Linked DNA regions of Caenorhabditis elegans. The protein of the gene in region 1 purifies or fractionates together with the protein of each later gene. This does not show direct contact. Each region holds a gene or a part of one and is shown on either strand. Other genes may lie near its edges. The genes, in order: alg-2 and ain-1.

What was found.
Region 2: the proteins of alg-2 (region 1) and ain-1 purify together in Caenorhabditis elegans (affinity purification with western blotting; one study listed by BioGRID). This does not show direct contact.

Annotation. Positions count from the first base shown.
Region 1 is NC_003280.10:871,345-879,488, forward strand, and holds the start of alg-2 (Protein argonaute-1), read left to right. Parts: upstream 1-1,867; coding exon 1,868-1,922; intron 1,923-2,307; exon of another isoform or gene 2,308-2,436; intron 2,437-2,815; coding exon 2,816-2,918; intron 2,919-3,515; coding exon 3,516-3,689; intron 3,690-3,758; coding exon 3,759-4,099; intron 4,100-4,142; exon of another isoform or gene 4,143-4,343; intron 4,344-4,390; coding exon 4,391-5,452; intron 5,453-5,683; coding exon 5,684-6,642; intron 6,643-7,093; coding exon 7,094-7,132; 3' UTR 7,133-8,144. Other genes in the region: fbxc-51 (F-box C protein), read left to right, coding at 81-255.
Region 2 is NC_003284.9:16,611,413-16,618,404, forward strand, and holds ain-1 (ALG-1 INteracting protein), read left to right. Parts: upstream 1-2,038; 5' UTR 2,039-2,080; coding exon 2,081-2,261; intron 2,262-2,304; coding exon 2,305-2,457; intron 2,458-2,514; coding exon 2,515-3,333; intron 3,334-3,458; coding exon 3,459-3,550; intron 3,551-3,594; coding exon 3,595-4,110; intron 4,111-4,459; exon of another isoform or gene 4,460-4,608; intron 4,609-4,670; coding exon 4,671-4,835; 3' UTR 4,836-6,263; downstream 6,264-6,992.

The DNA.
Region 1 (8,144 bases):
TATTCTAAAATTATCTAATGTACATACTAGTTTATAAACTTCCAAAGTTGGACTCTTCCCAAATTTTCCTTTTTTTCCAGCTGCACCGAATTCCCTCACTGCTTCAACATCCCGCTGACCTATGAATCCGAGCTTAATGTCTACGGTAAGAAGAGAACTGAAAACTTGGACCCTTTGGAGTTTATGCCACATGTCAGTTGGTGCCTGGTCTTCGAAGTGATGCCAATTGGAAGCGCTTTACCATTGGAGGACTGATTTTTCAATTTGCTAATTTTTTTTTTCAATTATGTCTTGTTGTCGTGTTTTTGATAATCTGAAATTTGTTGCGTGGATTTTAATAAAATGTTTTTTTGGTACTAAAAATGTTCCTAAATTTTTCTATATTTTGCTAGTTACCGGCTCAACGAAGGTGGTATATTTTAAAATCTGAATATCTGTAAATCTACAAAAGTTAGCAAAAGATTGTCAATTAACAAAATAATCTACGCAAATTGTTCTATAAGTTGTTAATTTACAAATTTTTTGTAGCTCAACTTTGAGCATAGTTATGATAGCTCTAAGTAGGGACAGGTTACCTGATTTTTATCAATTTTAAAACTTAAATATCTCCAAAAGCATCAAAGCTAATAAAAAATGTTGGGTATCTACGTGTACCTTACCCTTAACGTGGATATGAAGATCGTGTAACGTGAACTCATTATCTATGTATACTAACTTTCTATTTATTCCTTAGTTATGTAATAATAAACTACTCGTCTTCGCCTCCTTGTTCGGCCTCGAATATATAACATTGGCGATCAGGATCTTTCGGGCTCACTGCACCACTGACTTCATGCACATGTCTACTTAGAAGAAAAGACCTCTGAGGTATTGTTTTGATCTACACATGTCTACTGGGAAGAAAAGACCTCTGAGGTGGATCAGGTCAGCTTTGGGAAGAGGCACCTGCCGTGCTCTCTGCAGTTGCAGTCAAGGTGGACAGGAGCGGCTTCTGGTTTGAAGTCGAAAAGAAGAAGGAATCATTGCTCAACTCTTTTGAAGATGCGAGTGAAGGCCACCTATGCGTTTCAAATGCTCAGTCATTGGACGATTGCACAAATTGTTATTGGTCATAACATGATCCACAACCAGGAACTGGGATACAACAGGTTGATGGTGGAACAGGCGGAATCAGTGTGGATGATTCAAGGTTGGGTCTAATATTCAGGCAGCAACGTTTTTTTAGTCTGTTGGTGAAGGGTGGATAGACATCAAAAATATTTCGATTGGTACGGGAAGTGTGGCTAACTTGGAACCCGCAATTGGAGGATGTGAACACCGAAGTACCGTGTGCAAAGGATTGGCAATATCGACGGTCACACTGGAGGGTGGTCCGTGAGAACCTCAGAAGACATTCGTGGATGGCTCCTCACCAAAGCTCTCGTTTGTCATTGAAGAGGGGAGATGTTGGGTATCTACGTGTACCTAACCCTTAACGTGGATATGAAGATCGTGTAACGTGAACTCATTATCTATGTATACTAACTTTCTATTTATTCCTTAGTTATGTAATAATAAACTACTCGTCTTCGCCTCCTTGTTCGGCCTCGAATATATAACAAAAAATTAATAACAGGCAAAATGATTTACACAACTTTCTCTATATTTTCTTAGTTGACAACTTTTTAATATCTCAACTTACCGCAGAGTTATGACGGCTCAAACTAACCTTGGCTCGCTGCCAATTTTCCCACGTTCCTCCTCCTCCTCCCCCTACCCGAACAGTCTGCCCCCAAAACTGTGTCTGCGTCTCCTTATCGCGTCCCGTCATCTAACACTCCCAACGGACCGTCTTCCCACCTGTCAATTTCCCTGTTTCTCTGCGTCTATGTTCCCTCTGCCTGTACACAATGGTCCTAGACTTGGAAAATTATCGATTTTCGGTTAGTGGTCCGAGATTACCCGCGCGCGCGCATTTTTGAGAGGCCAGCTGTGTTGGTCAATCGTTTTTCTTGCGATTAGGGGGTTTCTCTTTTCATTTTCTCAGTTTTAAAAATAGTTTTCATTTTTAATTTTGATTTTTCTCATTAAAACTTTAAAAAGCTTAAAGTTTTCTCTAATTTATTAAGTTTAACATTTAGAAAATAAGATTTTCAACCCAAATTTCCATATGAAAATCGAAATTTTATCCCCTATACAATTCAAATTCCCCACGCTCCCCAACCCTTTTCTAATTGAGTTTTGGGGTGCATCGAAAAACACGCCAGTGCACCGAAAGTGCGCCAGCTAGCCCGTTGACGGCATTCCTTCCCCCGAGGGAACACCCGCTTTCGCAATGACTTTTGAAGCCGATTTTGGAGGTCTAAACTAGTTTTTTTGAGATTTTAACTAGAAATTCGAAAAATTCAGTTTAAATTCTATATAGATCTTAGGTTTTTTGAGGAATCTAGGTAAATTTTGGATTTACCAATTGGTATAGTAAAGTTAGTGTGGTTTTTTAGATTTTTGAAGTTCTCAGCAAATTTTCCTTTAATTTTGCCAAAATTTTCTATATTTTCCACAGCGAACTTTCAATTTTAAAATACTCTGAACAAATTTACTAAATAAAATCGAAAATTTTTTGGCATTTTATCGATTTTTCTCAAGTTGCCAACTATGTAATAACCTCTATGATTTCAGAGAGATTTTTGATTTTTCCCACTTAAGTATGTCTGCACTTTAAACCAAAAATTATGGGGTTTCATGCTTAAAGTTCACATTTTTTCTGTGTCTGGGTGTGCTGCTCCGTTTTGTTCTTTTTCGTGCAGCTTCTCATTATCAAATAAAATGTTTTCAGAAATGCCCGGCGATTCGCTGACATCGTCGTCTTTCATGCCAGATGGTGGCGCAGAAACGTCGAGCTCTTCACAGTTGGGCGGCTCGGCTCACGGAGCAATTGGGTAAGGTTTTGAATTTTGTGCAAAAGTTTTGACTTAAATCTGAGTTTGGCTCGATGTGGAGCAGGAAGTCTAAGCTTCTGGGCTTGTTAGAGCTGGATTTTGGGCCCAAAAACTATATTTGGAGCCCAGAACTGGGAAACTTAAACCAGAGCCTCTAATAACTTGAATCTAGTGAAAAATCTGACACTTACAAAAAAAACTGAAGTTACTTCAGACTTGGACTTTAAATTTAGAATGTGAGCTCACATTGGCTGAGCTTCAAGTTTTTAGAATTTTGGGCTTTAGCTATAATTCTATTAAAATTTTTAGAGAATGTCCGGAAATTTCAGTCCAAGCTTAAGCTTAAGCCTAGACCTAAGCCTAAACTCACACCTAAGCCTAAGCCTAAACCTACGCCATCAAATTTAAGCCTAAGGTAAATACCACCCGACTAAACCAAAGCCAACTCTTGAGCCTAAATCAAATTCCGACCTTCAGCGTCTGTTGAAGCTTTCAATTTAGACTTAGCCTAGGCAAGCCCAGAAACTTTAGCTCCAGGCCTGATTTTTATTTAGTCTTCCTGTAAGATTCCTGAATCTCTAATTTTCCAATTTTCAGCACAAAACCCGACGCAGGCGTCCAATTCCAGTGCCCAGTCCGTCCGAACCATGGAGTCGAGGGCCGATCCATCCTCCTGCGAGCCAATCATTTTGCAGTACGGATCCCCGGAGGTTCAGTCCAACATTATCAAATTGACGTCTTTCCGGACAAGTGCCCAAGACGGGTTAATCGGTAAGTACTTTTTCTATTGATTCGGGGTTCCCTTCAAAACTTCAGCTCTGAAATTTTAATCATTTTCAGCGAGGTAATCGGCTGCCTGATCTCCTCCTTCTCAAAATATTTCACCAATATTCGACCAGTCTACGATGGAAAGCGTAACATGTACACGCGGGAGCCCCTACCAATTGGCACGGAGCCCATGAACTTTGAGGTGACGCTGCCTGGAGATTCAGCAGTGGAACGGAAGTTCTCAGTGACGATGAAGTGGATCGGTCAGGTCTGTCTGTCAGCTCTGGACGATGCCATGGAAGGTAGAGTGCGGCAGGTTCCACATGAAGCCGTTCAGTCGATCGATGTGATTCTTCGCCACTTGCCAAGTTTGAAGTACACCCCGGTTGGAAGGTCGTTTTTCACACCTCCAGGTAAGATCTCAAGTTGCTTGGTTAAGGATCTAGGACCTAGGATTTAGGATCTAGAGTATAGGATCTACGATCTAGGGTCTAGGATCTAGGATCTAGGATCTAGGATCTAGGATCTAGGATCTAGGGTCTAGGGTCTAGGATCTGGGATCTAGGATCTAGGGTGTAGGATCTAGGATCTAGGATCCAGAATCTAGAATCTAGGATCTAGGCTCTGGGATCTAGGCTCTAGGATCTAGGCTCTAGGCTCCTACGCTCCCAGACAAACTTCAATACTCCAACTATATCTTTTAGGCGTCATGAAGCCCGGCATGCAAATGCACCAGGAGAGCAAACTCGGTGGAGGCCGCGAAGTATGGTTTGGATTCCATCAATCCGTCCGACCATCCCAATGGAAGATGATGCTCAACATTGACGTCTCCGCCACGGCCTTTTACCGCGCGATGCCAGTCATCGAATTCGTCGCCGAGGTGCTCGAGCTCCCAGTCCAAGCTCTCGCCGAGCGTCGGGCCCTCTCCGATGCTCAACGCGTCAAATTCACCAAAGAGATCCGTGGACTCAAGATTGAGATCACCCATTGTGGAGCCGTGCGCCGGAAGTACAGAGTTTGCAACGTCACACGCCGCCCGGCCCAGACCCAGACCTTCCCATTGCAACTGGAGACTGGCCAAACTATTGAGTGTACTGTAGCCAAGTACTTCTTTGACAAGTACCGTATCCAGCTGAAGTACCCCCACCTTCCATGCCTCCAAGTCGGTCAGGAGCAGAAGCATACGTACCTGCCACCAGAGGTCTGCGATATTGTTCCAGGACAGCGTTGTCTGAAGAAGCTCACCGATGTGCAGACGTCCACCATGATCAAGGCCACGGCTCGTTCCGCTCCAGAGCGTGAGCGTGAGATTTGTAAGCTAGTAAGCAAGGCTGAGCTCTCCGCGGATCCATTTGCTCATGAATTCGGAATCACTATCAATCCAGCAATGACTGAAGTCAAGGGACGTGTGCTCTCGGCTCCGAAGCTTCTCTATGGAGGTCGTCATCGTGCCACAACTGCCCTTCCGAACCAGGGAGTCTGGGATATGCGCGGGAAGCAGTTCCACACTGGAATGGAAGTCCGTACCTGGGCGATTGCATGCTTTGCTCAGCAATCTCATGTCAAGGAAAATGATCTCAGGATGTTCACGACTCAATTGCAAAGGATCTCTACCGACGCTGGAATGCCAATCATCGGTACCCCTATGTTCTGCAAATATGCTTCTGGAGTGGAGCAGGTGGAGCCGATGTTCAAGTACTTGAAGCAGACCTATTCGGCGATTCAGTTGATTGTGGTGGTGCTGCCAGGAAAGACTCCGATCTATGGTAAGTTGATTAATTGTAGGTGAAAGTTCTAGGGTGTTGGTGTAAGCTTTACGCTCCTAGGTTCCAAGGATCTAGATCTTAGATCATGGAGTCCTGGGATCCTAAGCTGCTAGGCTCTTGGAATCCTAGGTTCCAAGGATCTATGGCCTAGATCATTGGGCTCTGAATCTTGGGACCAAGATCATCTATATCCTTACCTCTTCAACCCCATCTGAAGCTCTATATTTTCAGCCGAAGTGAAACGCGTCGGAGACACCGTCCTCGGAATCGCCACCCAGTGCGTCCAGGCCAAGAACGCCATCCGAACCACCCCGCAGACACTCTCCAACCTCTGTCTCAAGATGAATGTGAAGCTTGGTGGAGTCAACAGCATCCTCCTGCCAAACGTGCGTCCACGGATCTTCAACGAGCCCGTCATCTTCCTGGGTTGCGACATCACCCATCCAGCAGCCGGTGATACCCGTAAGCCATCCATCGCCGCAGTGGTAGGATCTATGGATGCTCACCCGAGTAGATATGCGGCAACAGTTCGGGTCCAGCAGCACCGTCAGGAGATCATTACGGATCTGACATATATGGTTCGAGAGTTGCTTGTCCAGTTCTACCGTAACACGAGGTTCAAGCCAGCCCGAATTGTGGTCTACAGAGATGGAGTGTCTGAGGGTCAACTCTTCAATGTGCTCCAATATGAGCTCCGCGCAATTCGTGAAGCTTGTGTGATGCTTGAGAGTGGATACCAGCCAGGAATCACATTTATCGCTGTGCAAAAGAGACATCACACAAGGCTCTTCGCCGCGGATAAAGCTGATCAAGTAGGAAAAGCATTCAACATCCCACCAGGAACAACTGTAGATGTGGGAATCACGCATCCAACGGAATTCGACTTCTTCCTCTGCTCCCACGCTGGTATCCAAGGAACATCCCGACCATCTCACTACCATGTGCTCTGGGATGACAATGATCTGACGGCCGACGAGCTTCAACAGTTGACCTACCAAATGTGTCATACCTATGTAAGATGCACGAGGTCTGTGTCGATCCCGGCGCCGGCGTACTATGCACATCTGGTGGCGTTCCGTGCTCGTTATCACTTGGTCGATAGGGATCATGGATCCGGAGAGGAAGGATCACAACCTTCGGGGACGTCGTCGGAGGATACAACATTGTCAAGCATGGCCAAGGCCGTACAGGTGAGCATTGTTTGGATTTTGAGATAGAGTGTAGGCAGAAGCATAGAGCTAGGATCTGGGCCTAGATTATTTATCTAGACTGAGATCAGGATCTGGGCTGAGGCTTGAGGCATAGGAGCCTAGGAGTCTAGAAGCGCAGTCCTTGAAGCATAGACCAAGACCCAGACCTAGACCTAGACCTATACCGAGAACTAGACCTAGACCTAGACCTAGACCTGGACCTAGACCTAGACCTAGACCTAGACCTAGACCTAGACCTAGACCTAGACCTAGACCTAAACCTAGACCTAGACCTAGACCTAGACCTAAACCTAGAACTAGACCTAAACCTTGATCTAGACCTTGATCTAGACCTAGACCTAGACCTAGACCTACACCTACACCTACACCTACACCTACACCTACACCTATACCCACGCTTTCCTAACCTACTAATTTCAACTTTTTCCAGGTTCATCCCGACTCGAACAACGTCATGTATTTTGCCTAAGTCTCCAACTACGGATTCTCTGCCATTTCACAGCCACTTGTTATCTATGCATCTCGATTTTCATTTTTCCCGTTTCCTCTGCCCCCTGAGATTTTCATGTTTTTCCTTCCCCTAATTATCAATATCAATCAATACTTTAATATCTTTCAAGCCCAGGTTTATAATATTTCCAATTATGTTAGGTGTTTAATTTTCACCAAGTTTTTTTTCCATTTTTTTCCAAATTTCTTGAGCCATTTTCCATACTAGCCACACAATGCTTTTTCGATCCTCCAAATACTTTCCATTTGTGTCTTTATCCCCCTCTGCTCTAATTAAATACGACCTTATCACTCAATTGGTACACTTTGTTGTAAACTGTCTTTCTCTTAGTATCTGAAAAAAAACCTCATGATTGTCCTGTTTTTCAACCCACCCCCACCCACAATGCCTTTTTGTGTTTCCCAATGGCAAGTCCAACAGAATAAAGTGATATTTTGGAACCCACAGGATGTCCGCTGCTATTAGGGGGCCCGTAAGATGGGCGCTGTTTCTGTACGCCAGTGAGATGTCCGCTGCTTCTAGAACACCATTAGATGTCGGCTGCTCTATTGGGCTCGGGGCATGTCCGCTGCTTTAGCAAACGCTGCTCTATTAAGCCCGTATGATGTCCGCTGCTATTAGGGAACCTGTGGGATGTCCACTGCTTCTAAAAGCCTGATTGTCTCCTACTTTGCACCAGTGATCCCGTAAGATGCCCGCTGCTTCTGAGAACCCATAAGATGTCTGCTGCTGTTCAATATGCCCGTAAAACAGGATCTCAACGTCTTTATTTTGTTATACCACGTTACTATTTTCCAAGTTAGATGTACTGCTTTCTTCTCTCGACCTCTGCTGTCTCACATTCCTGCCTCTCCTCCCATGAAATCCTCTTCCGCGTTGGTCGTATAGAGGATCATATCCACCTCCGTAATAGATTCCGTTACCAATACGACAACAGAATCGAACTCCCATGTATATGAAGCCAACGCAG
Region 2 (6,992 bases), on another chromosome or scaffold:
CTCGAGACGCGAGTAAGAAATCGATTGATCAACGATAGGTGGGAGGCAGTGCGCTGGGCCCTACGCTCACCATCGGCATCTCTGTGCAACGCGTACTATCTCGACGACCCATCTGTCCAATTGCTACACGCATTCGCGATCTTGTTCCGCGCTGGACCACACTACCAACACTTCCCGCTTGACCCTTTCTCTCTCCCGGAGCCTAATAACACCTGCTTTTTCTACTGGTCGTTTTTTCTTTTATTAATTGCCTCTTTTCTCTCAGCGTGTTTGTTTTTTGTCTTCTATTTTCAATTTTGAAAAAGAAAAACATTTTTCTCGTTATTCAAAAGTTTCTCTTCATGTTTTCTTCTCCGTGTGAAAAACAGTATAGATTTCTCATTCCCAATTCTCTTCCACCTCACCGGGTCACGTGAACTTGATGCGAAGGAAAACAAACCCTCAACTGTCTAGCACTCACAGTTTCTGGTTCCCGAGCGGTGGCGGCACACAAGGTCGAAAAAATTCAGTCACCAAAAATTGATAGCCTCGGCTGTTTTGGCGTGTCAAATTAATGAACACTGTCTTAAGAATTTCAACATAATGTTTCATCTTTTTCCTTTTTAGATTTATCATCTCCTGTTTGAATTTAAATATTTCACAAAGTACAAAAAGTTACGATATAGCCAACTTTTCATAACAGAGAAAAACCACTGTAATGTCAAATTTTCAGAAAATTGGTGAATTTCTGTTAAATATCCTTAGTATCCTCAATTAACAAGTTCCTAATCAATTTCTCTCCGAATCTATTTCCAACCAAAAAGTGTTTCAAGTTTGGCATGTCGCCCGTCCCGCTGTTCATCCCGTCCATCTTCGCTCGTGTGTCCCGTCCATCCCACATATCGAAAATATATTGGTAGTGTGTGTATGTGTGTGTGTGTGTAGAACTGGCCACACAGACGTATATACTGTTAGATACGGGGAGAACCACCAGAGATGAAGAGAAATGGTGGTGAGTGGTCGAGCGCACGTCGATGAGTGTCTATGAGTGCGGTGGTGAGCGCATGAGCGCGTGAGTGTGCGGCGGTGCGGTTTCTCCGTCTCTACACGACATGAAACCCTCTCAGTTGACCCTACGTTCCTTCTTCTCTCTGCACACACACACACATACACACAGCGGTCTCATTGATTCGTGAAAGAAAAAGAGAGAGCGAGAGTGCGGGAGGGTGGTCTGATGAGTGAAGCGTGAGCGGACAGACTCACGGGGGTTAGTAGTAGTGAAGCGAGGAAAAAGTGGAAAGACGGGGAGTTTCCGCTGCGTCTCTCGCCCGGCAAGCAATTTGATGTTGGCCTCTCACTATGAGATGGAGAGAGACAGACAGGGAGAGAAACGCGCAATGTCGTCGCCGGTCGCCTTCTCGCCCTCGATCGGGGTAGCCAGCAGCAGCAGCAGCAGCAGCAGCAGCAGCCCAGCCAACCAGCCTGCGAAGCACCAGACCCCTCTTCTAACTAGTCTCTCTCCTTCTTCTGCTTTTTCCTTCTCCTTTCTCTCTTTCCTGCTTTTTCCTTAACCCCTTGTCCGCCTAGTTCCCACCTAGCCAGCAGCGCCCCGGGGGCTTTTGGGGCCTTTCTTTACAACAGTAGTTATGTAGGTTGTACAAAACTTATTAAATTTTTTAATGTTTACCTTTTTACAGGAGAACGCTTTTTACACTGAACTTGTTTCTATCTAGCAGTATTGCATTAATTAATAGTTTATGCTTTCTAACTTTGACAATGATCTTGTAAAACATAATTTTGCTCAATACTGTTTGAATGGCTTTAGATCATTTTTTATAAAATTTCTATTAAGCTGATACTCCTGGTCCGTAAAATTTTCAATTGCCTTCATGAAATCCTGCTCGTTACGCGGCTAATGTTGTTCGACCAATGTACCCATGTCGAAATCAAATAGTGTTATCAATCAGTCTATCAGTTTCTTTGTTTTCTCTTGTCATCTATCATTTACCATCACGCTCTCGCCAAAACTCATCAATCAATAATATTCCATTTTTTACAGATAAGCTCAAACTCTGATCGCCAGAGCGCGATCAACGCAACCATGGAGAGTCTCGCAAAAAACTTCAACAACATTTCAATAGACGACGCAGCGTGGCATCCTAACGACCAACAGCCTGTATGGGGAAACAACGGTCTCCAGCAGCAACGTGTCTGGGCTCCGCCGGTACCGCAGCCACAGTTCCCAAACAGATCGCCATGGCAACAGGAATCGAACGATATCGGTAATTGGCAATTGTAATCTTGATGACGTAAAAATTGTTTCAGAGCCAAATGTCAACGAAGCCCTTGTTGGACTCAGTGGCACAGGCTCATCAAGTCAAAGCCAATGGGGTGGCATTCAGAATACAGATTATGAGAAACAGATATGGGGTGATCCACCATTGAGCGATGTGCAGTATCCACTTCAACCACATGCCTGTAAGTTCAAATTTGATTAGACGTTATATTTATAAATTTAAATCTATAAATTTTCAGCGTTCGGTGAATTGAATAGTCTTGGAGGTCAATCTGCGCCTTGGTCCATAGGGTCTCAGCCAGCGCACCCGGTTTGGAGTAACGGAGGAATGGGAAAAGAATCTGATGACTTTTGGAAACAGCAACAGCCTCAACAGCATCAGCAATACCCGATGCCATTGCTGCAGGGAGCCTGGAATACAGGCATGAGACATGGACCACCAGGACAAGGACAACGTAGTGGGCCAATGATGCAGCAGCAGCAAGACTACCAAGGGGGATGGGGTGGCCCGAATAACATGGGTGGCAACAAGCAGATGAACCGTCCATGGGGGCAGGACAGCAATCGTGGAATGTCAGGCATGCCGCCCCGAAACGGTCGTCCAAACCACAACCAGGGACGGTACTCTGGCAATATGGGTGGCGGTGTTGACGTTTCAGTTCCACCACCGATGGATATGCACATGGGAGGTGGTATGGGTGGAATGAGAAATATGGGTGTTGCTCCGAATAGTGGACACGGATCATGGAAGAATAACAATGCTGGTGGAGGTCAAGGAGGCCACGGCGGTCAAAGAAACTACAACAACCGTGGTGGAATGGGACACAGTGGAAGCCAGAGTGGCGGAGGATCCAATATGTGGAACAGCACCGGAAACAATGGAAGTGGTGGAAGCATGCAGCAGTTCATGGGAGGAGACCAGCAGTACAACAATCCATTCCCAATCGGCGGAGCTGCTGATGATCTCACACTGACTGTTTGGCATGATCCAAACGGAGAACTCAAGAAATGGCAGAGAGATACTGGAGTGTCCTATTGGGGAGACCCGGAGAAGCAAAGTGAGTTTTTTAAAAAAATATTTCCTTGGTGGGAATTGAATGAAATTCTCCATTGTTTCATGAAAAACTGAAATTAGTCTAAATGTGTTGCTATAGAAATCACCTATTATCGACTATTTTTGCAGCTGACCGTACCATTAGCTTGTGGATTGTTGGCGAAGGTGCCGATGAGGATTTGGAAACTGCATTGAACCGATGTCCAGTACCACAGAAAAAGGTAATATTGTTGTCTTAGGTATTAAATTGAACTTCATGTCTCAGGGAGAGGACAATCAACGTTTCCCATTCCCAGTACCAGCGAAACGGCCAATTGTTGTGACCGGATGGGGAGAGCTTCCAGAAAATGATCCAAACAATCCGTCCAAGAGCGAGTCGACGATATTCGACGAGAACAACAGATGGAACGACTTGACAACTGAGCAAAATCCATGGTATCTTCCGAATCAGCACACTTCAACATTCTCCAGTGACAACACCACTGGATCGTGGGTGCAGGGAGGAACAATTCCACTCAATGAGCCCGGAACCAATCAACACGTGGCTGTGGCGGAGATGCTGAAGAACGCTGTCGACAAGGGATACCTGGACCAGAGCGTGACGATGATGGCCAACTTACCGCCAATGGTGCTGCAGTATGTCAATATGCTGCTCGTCAAAATTCCAGCGTTGGATAGTGTGGAGAATGAGCTGAAGCAGATAATTGAGAGTTCTCTGCCAGAAGATGTGAAAGAGGTTGATCCACAGAATCAACAAAAGTACATGAATGATAGTCAAAAGGTGAGGAAGATTGTCGAGTTTTCAGGTTGTTCAGGATAAAATTATGAAAAATTAAAATAGTAGAAGCCAAAATAATTATCATACTACAACCTATTATTATAGGAAACAAATGAAAGCTAGACATTTTGCTAGAAATTTAAAATATCAACCTTACCAGAAAACTAGCTTAGATCCTGCTTAAACCTAGATTTTAAATTGGGCGGCGGGATAGCTCAGTCGGTAGTGGTGGCCGCTAGCAAGCTGGAAGTCATGAGTTCAAGCCCCCTAGGTTTACCCAGCCTCTATTGAGAAGTGGAGCAATCAACGACTGGATTATCGGTCACGGTCCCCGGCTTGAACGTGGCTCAAATAATAGCCCGGTGGGAGCCCCACCAGACAGTGCACTACGGAACTGAATTCCAGATCCGCAGTGCATAACACCTGAAGTACGGATCGTCCTTTAATCCTTTAATATCAAACTTTTGAAAAATATTAGACGCATCGCTAAGGAGCTCAGATTACTTCAGTTCGATTGCTTGCAAAGATGAATAATATGAATACCAAACAAATCAATTTTCCAGCTTGAACACAATCGTCTCATCATCGAAGTGACGACAGCAAAGATTGAAGTTCAAGAATACTCGAAAAAAGTGAACCGTGCGCTGATGGACGCTGGAATTGTGCAACCGCAGGAGCAACGTGCGCCAGCCTCAACGGAGGACTATCACTACTCGTTCTTAGAATAGATTGTATCGCCCACCGATCTTCTCTCCCACACACGAACAATTATCATCATTACTTTTATTTTGTGTTTCGCACTGTAATCTGAATTTTAAGTTTGGAAATTTGAAATTCAAAGTTTCAGCCTTGTCATCATCATTTCCCATTAACTTGTCTCAGTGACCTTTGACATTTTCTTCAATACTTTTTTACTCTCCCCCTTTCTCTTTAATTTCGTGTGTGTGTGTGTCTGTTTCCTTACTTTATTGCCTCCGGATTTCTATTGTAAACGTGGTCTTGTGAATGTTCTCTCTATCTTGTCGTCTCCTTCCTTCTTTACTGCTGATCAGACGGGGAAAATTACACGTTTTTTGTATTTCACCTCTCGTTTTGCCATCTCCAGATAATCAATTTTTCTTGTTTAAGGGGAGGCTCTCGCCTTTCCCCCTCCCACTAAGAATAATTTGGTGGCTGGTGCTTGGTCTCACAGGGATTCCAGGTTTATGTCTGCCAGTTCATACCTTCTCTTCTCTCTCTCTCATAATAGGGGTCTTTGTTCCAACAATTTCCAACCACGCGTAAATCCATCTTACTTTCCCTTTTCCATAACATCCAAACCTCAAAATATAATAAAGTCCATATTAATCAAAATACTGTATTTCTTTTTTTAAATTGTATCCTTTCGAAAATATAATTCAGTTTTTGGGGCTATTTCCACTAAAACTGCACTTTCTGCAGAGCCTCTGCGAGCATTTTCACCCCACTACTCTTAATCCCCCACGTTCACTTTTCAATCAAGCTATTCCCATTTTTAATTTGAATCAAAATTTCTGTGTATGCTTTGCTTCCAAACGTCATTTGTAATCTGGGTCTTTTCTACGTCATTCTTTACAGTTTCAATGTGCTAATGTCTCCCGTCTCTTGTCTCTTTTTGCTCTCACCCTCACTCACTAAGTTCCAACCAAAAATTGTGATGAAATTATCCCTGAAAACTTGTCAAAATTGGTTCAATCAGCTACATGCGCACACTTTGAAAATCATACAAAAATAAATACAAGAAACGCCTTTCTAAACGATACATAAACTCGTCGTCCCGGCAGCATTTCCCTAGAAACCAGGTCAATTCCTAGTACGGCCCTTTTCCGAATTCTCGCTCTCAATTTCAAACAAAATGGTGTTCTCATTTCATTGTCTTCTTCTCCAAACTTACCGGACTTCAAATAAACTCATTATGTGCAGTACAGTTTCACAATTCGGGACCCTCTCTCTTCCAGAAATTTGTCAATTCCCCTCTCTCATTTCTCACTCCGGCTCTCAAAAATCTTGATTAAATCTCGCATGAACATGTAATAATCAAAACTGTTTTCTTATCTCTTACCATACTTTACTTGTAACACCCATGCCGTCCAACATCACCTTTGGTTCTATTCTCGTATAATAAAACGTTGTGAATTAAACTCTGGAATGTTCAATTTTAGGGAGCAGAAATGAAATAGCACTGTTTCTGTATTTATTTTAATATTTATTTCAAGTTTTAGGTTTGAGTGTATGATAGAAACACAATTAATATTTTGTATTCAAAATAGCCAATTTGTTCAGCAACCGCTTTTTGGTATCACCTGTGCAGCCAGAAACCATTTCTCGTAAAATAAAAGCTTGTCAAAAAGATTCTCCCCGGCCGGGAATTGAACCAGGGTCTCGCATGTGACAGACGCGGATACTCACCACTATACTACCGAGGACACATTTTTCAAAGAATTCGGAGGCTTTCAAAATCATTAATGTAAGTTGAAACCAGATTTACTCTGCAATTCTTACTTAAATTGTAGCATTTTGGCCGACTAATAGTATGTAAAATAAATATGAAAAAACAAACATAAAATAATTTGACAGTTGACCTTGTCGCATTAAAACCAAAAGTATACAAAATATAAGCTGCCAATGATGCATGAGCAAATGTATAGCCTGAAAAAATAAGTACTCAAGTTTGCCACTTACAGAATTTCCTATTTGATATCTACATCAAAGACCAATATCTTAAAATGACCATTAAAGCCAAACGAGCAAAAAGATTCTCCCCGGCCGGGAATTGAACCCGGGTCTCGCATGTGACAGACGCGGATACTCACCACTATACTACCGAGGACACATTTTTCAATGAATTCGGAGGCTTTCAAAAACAT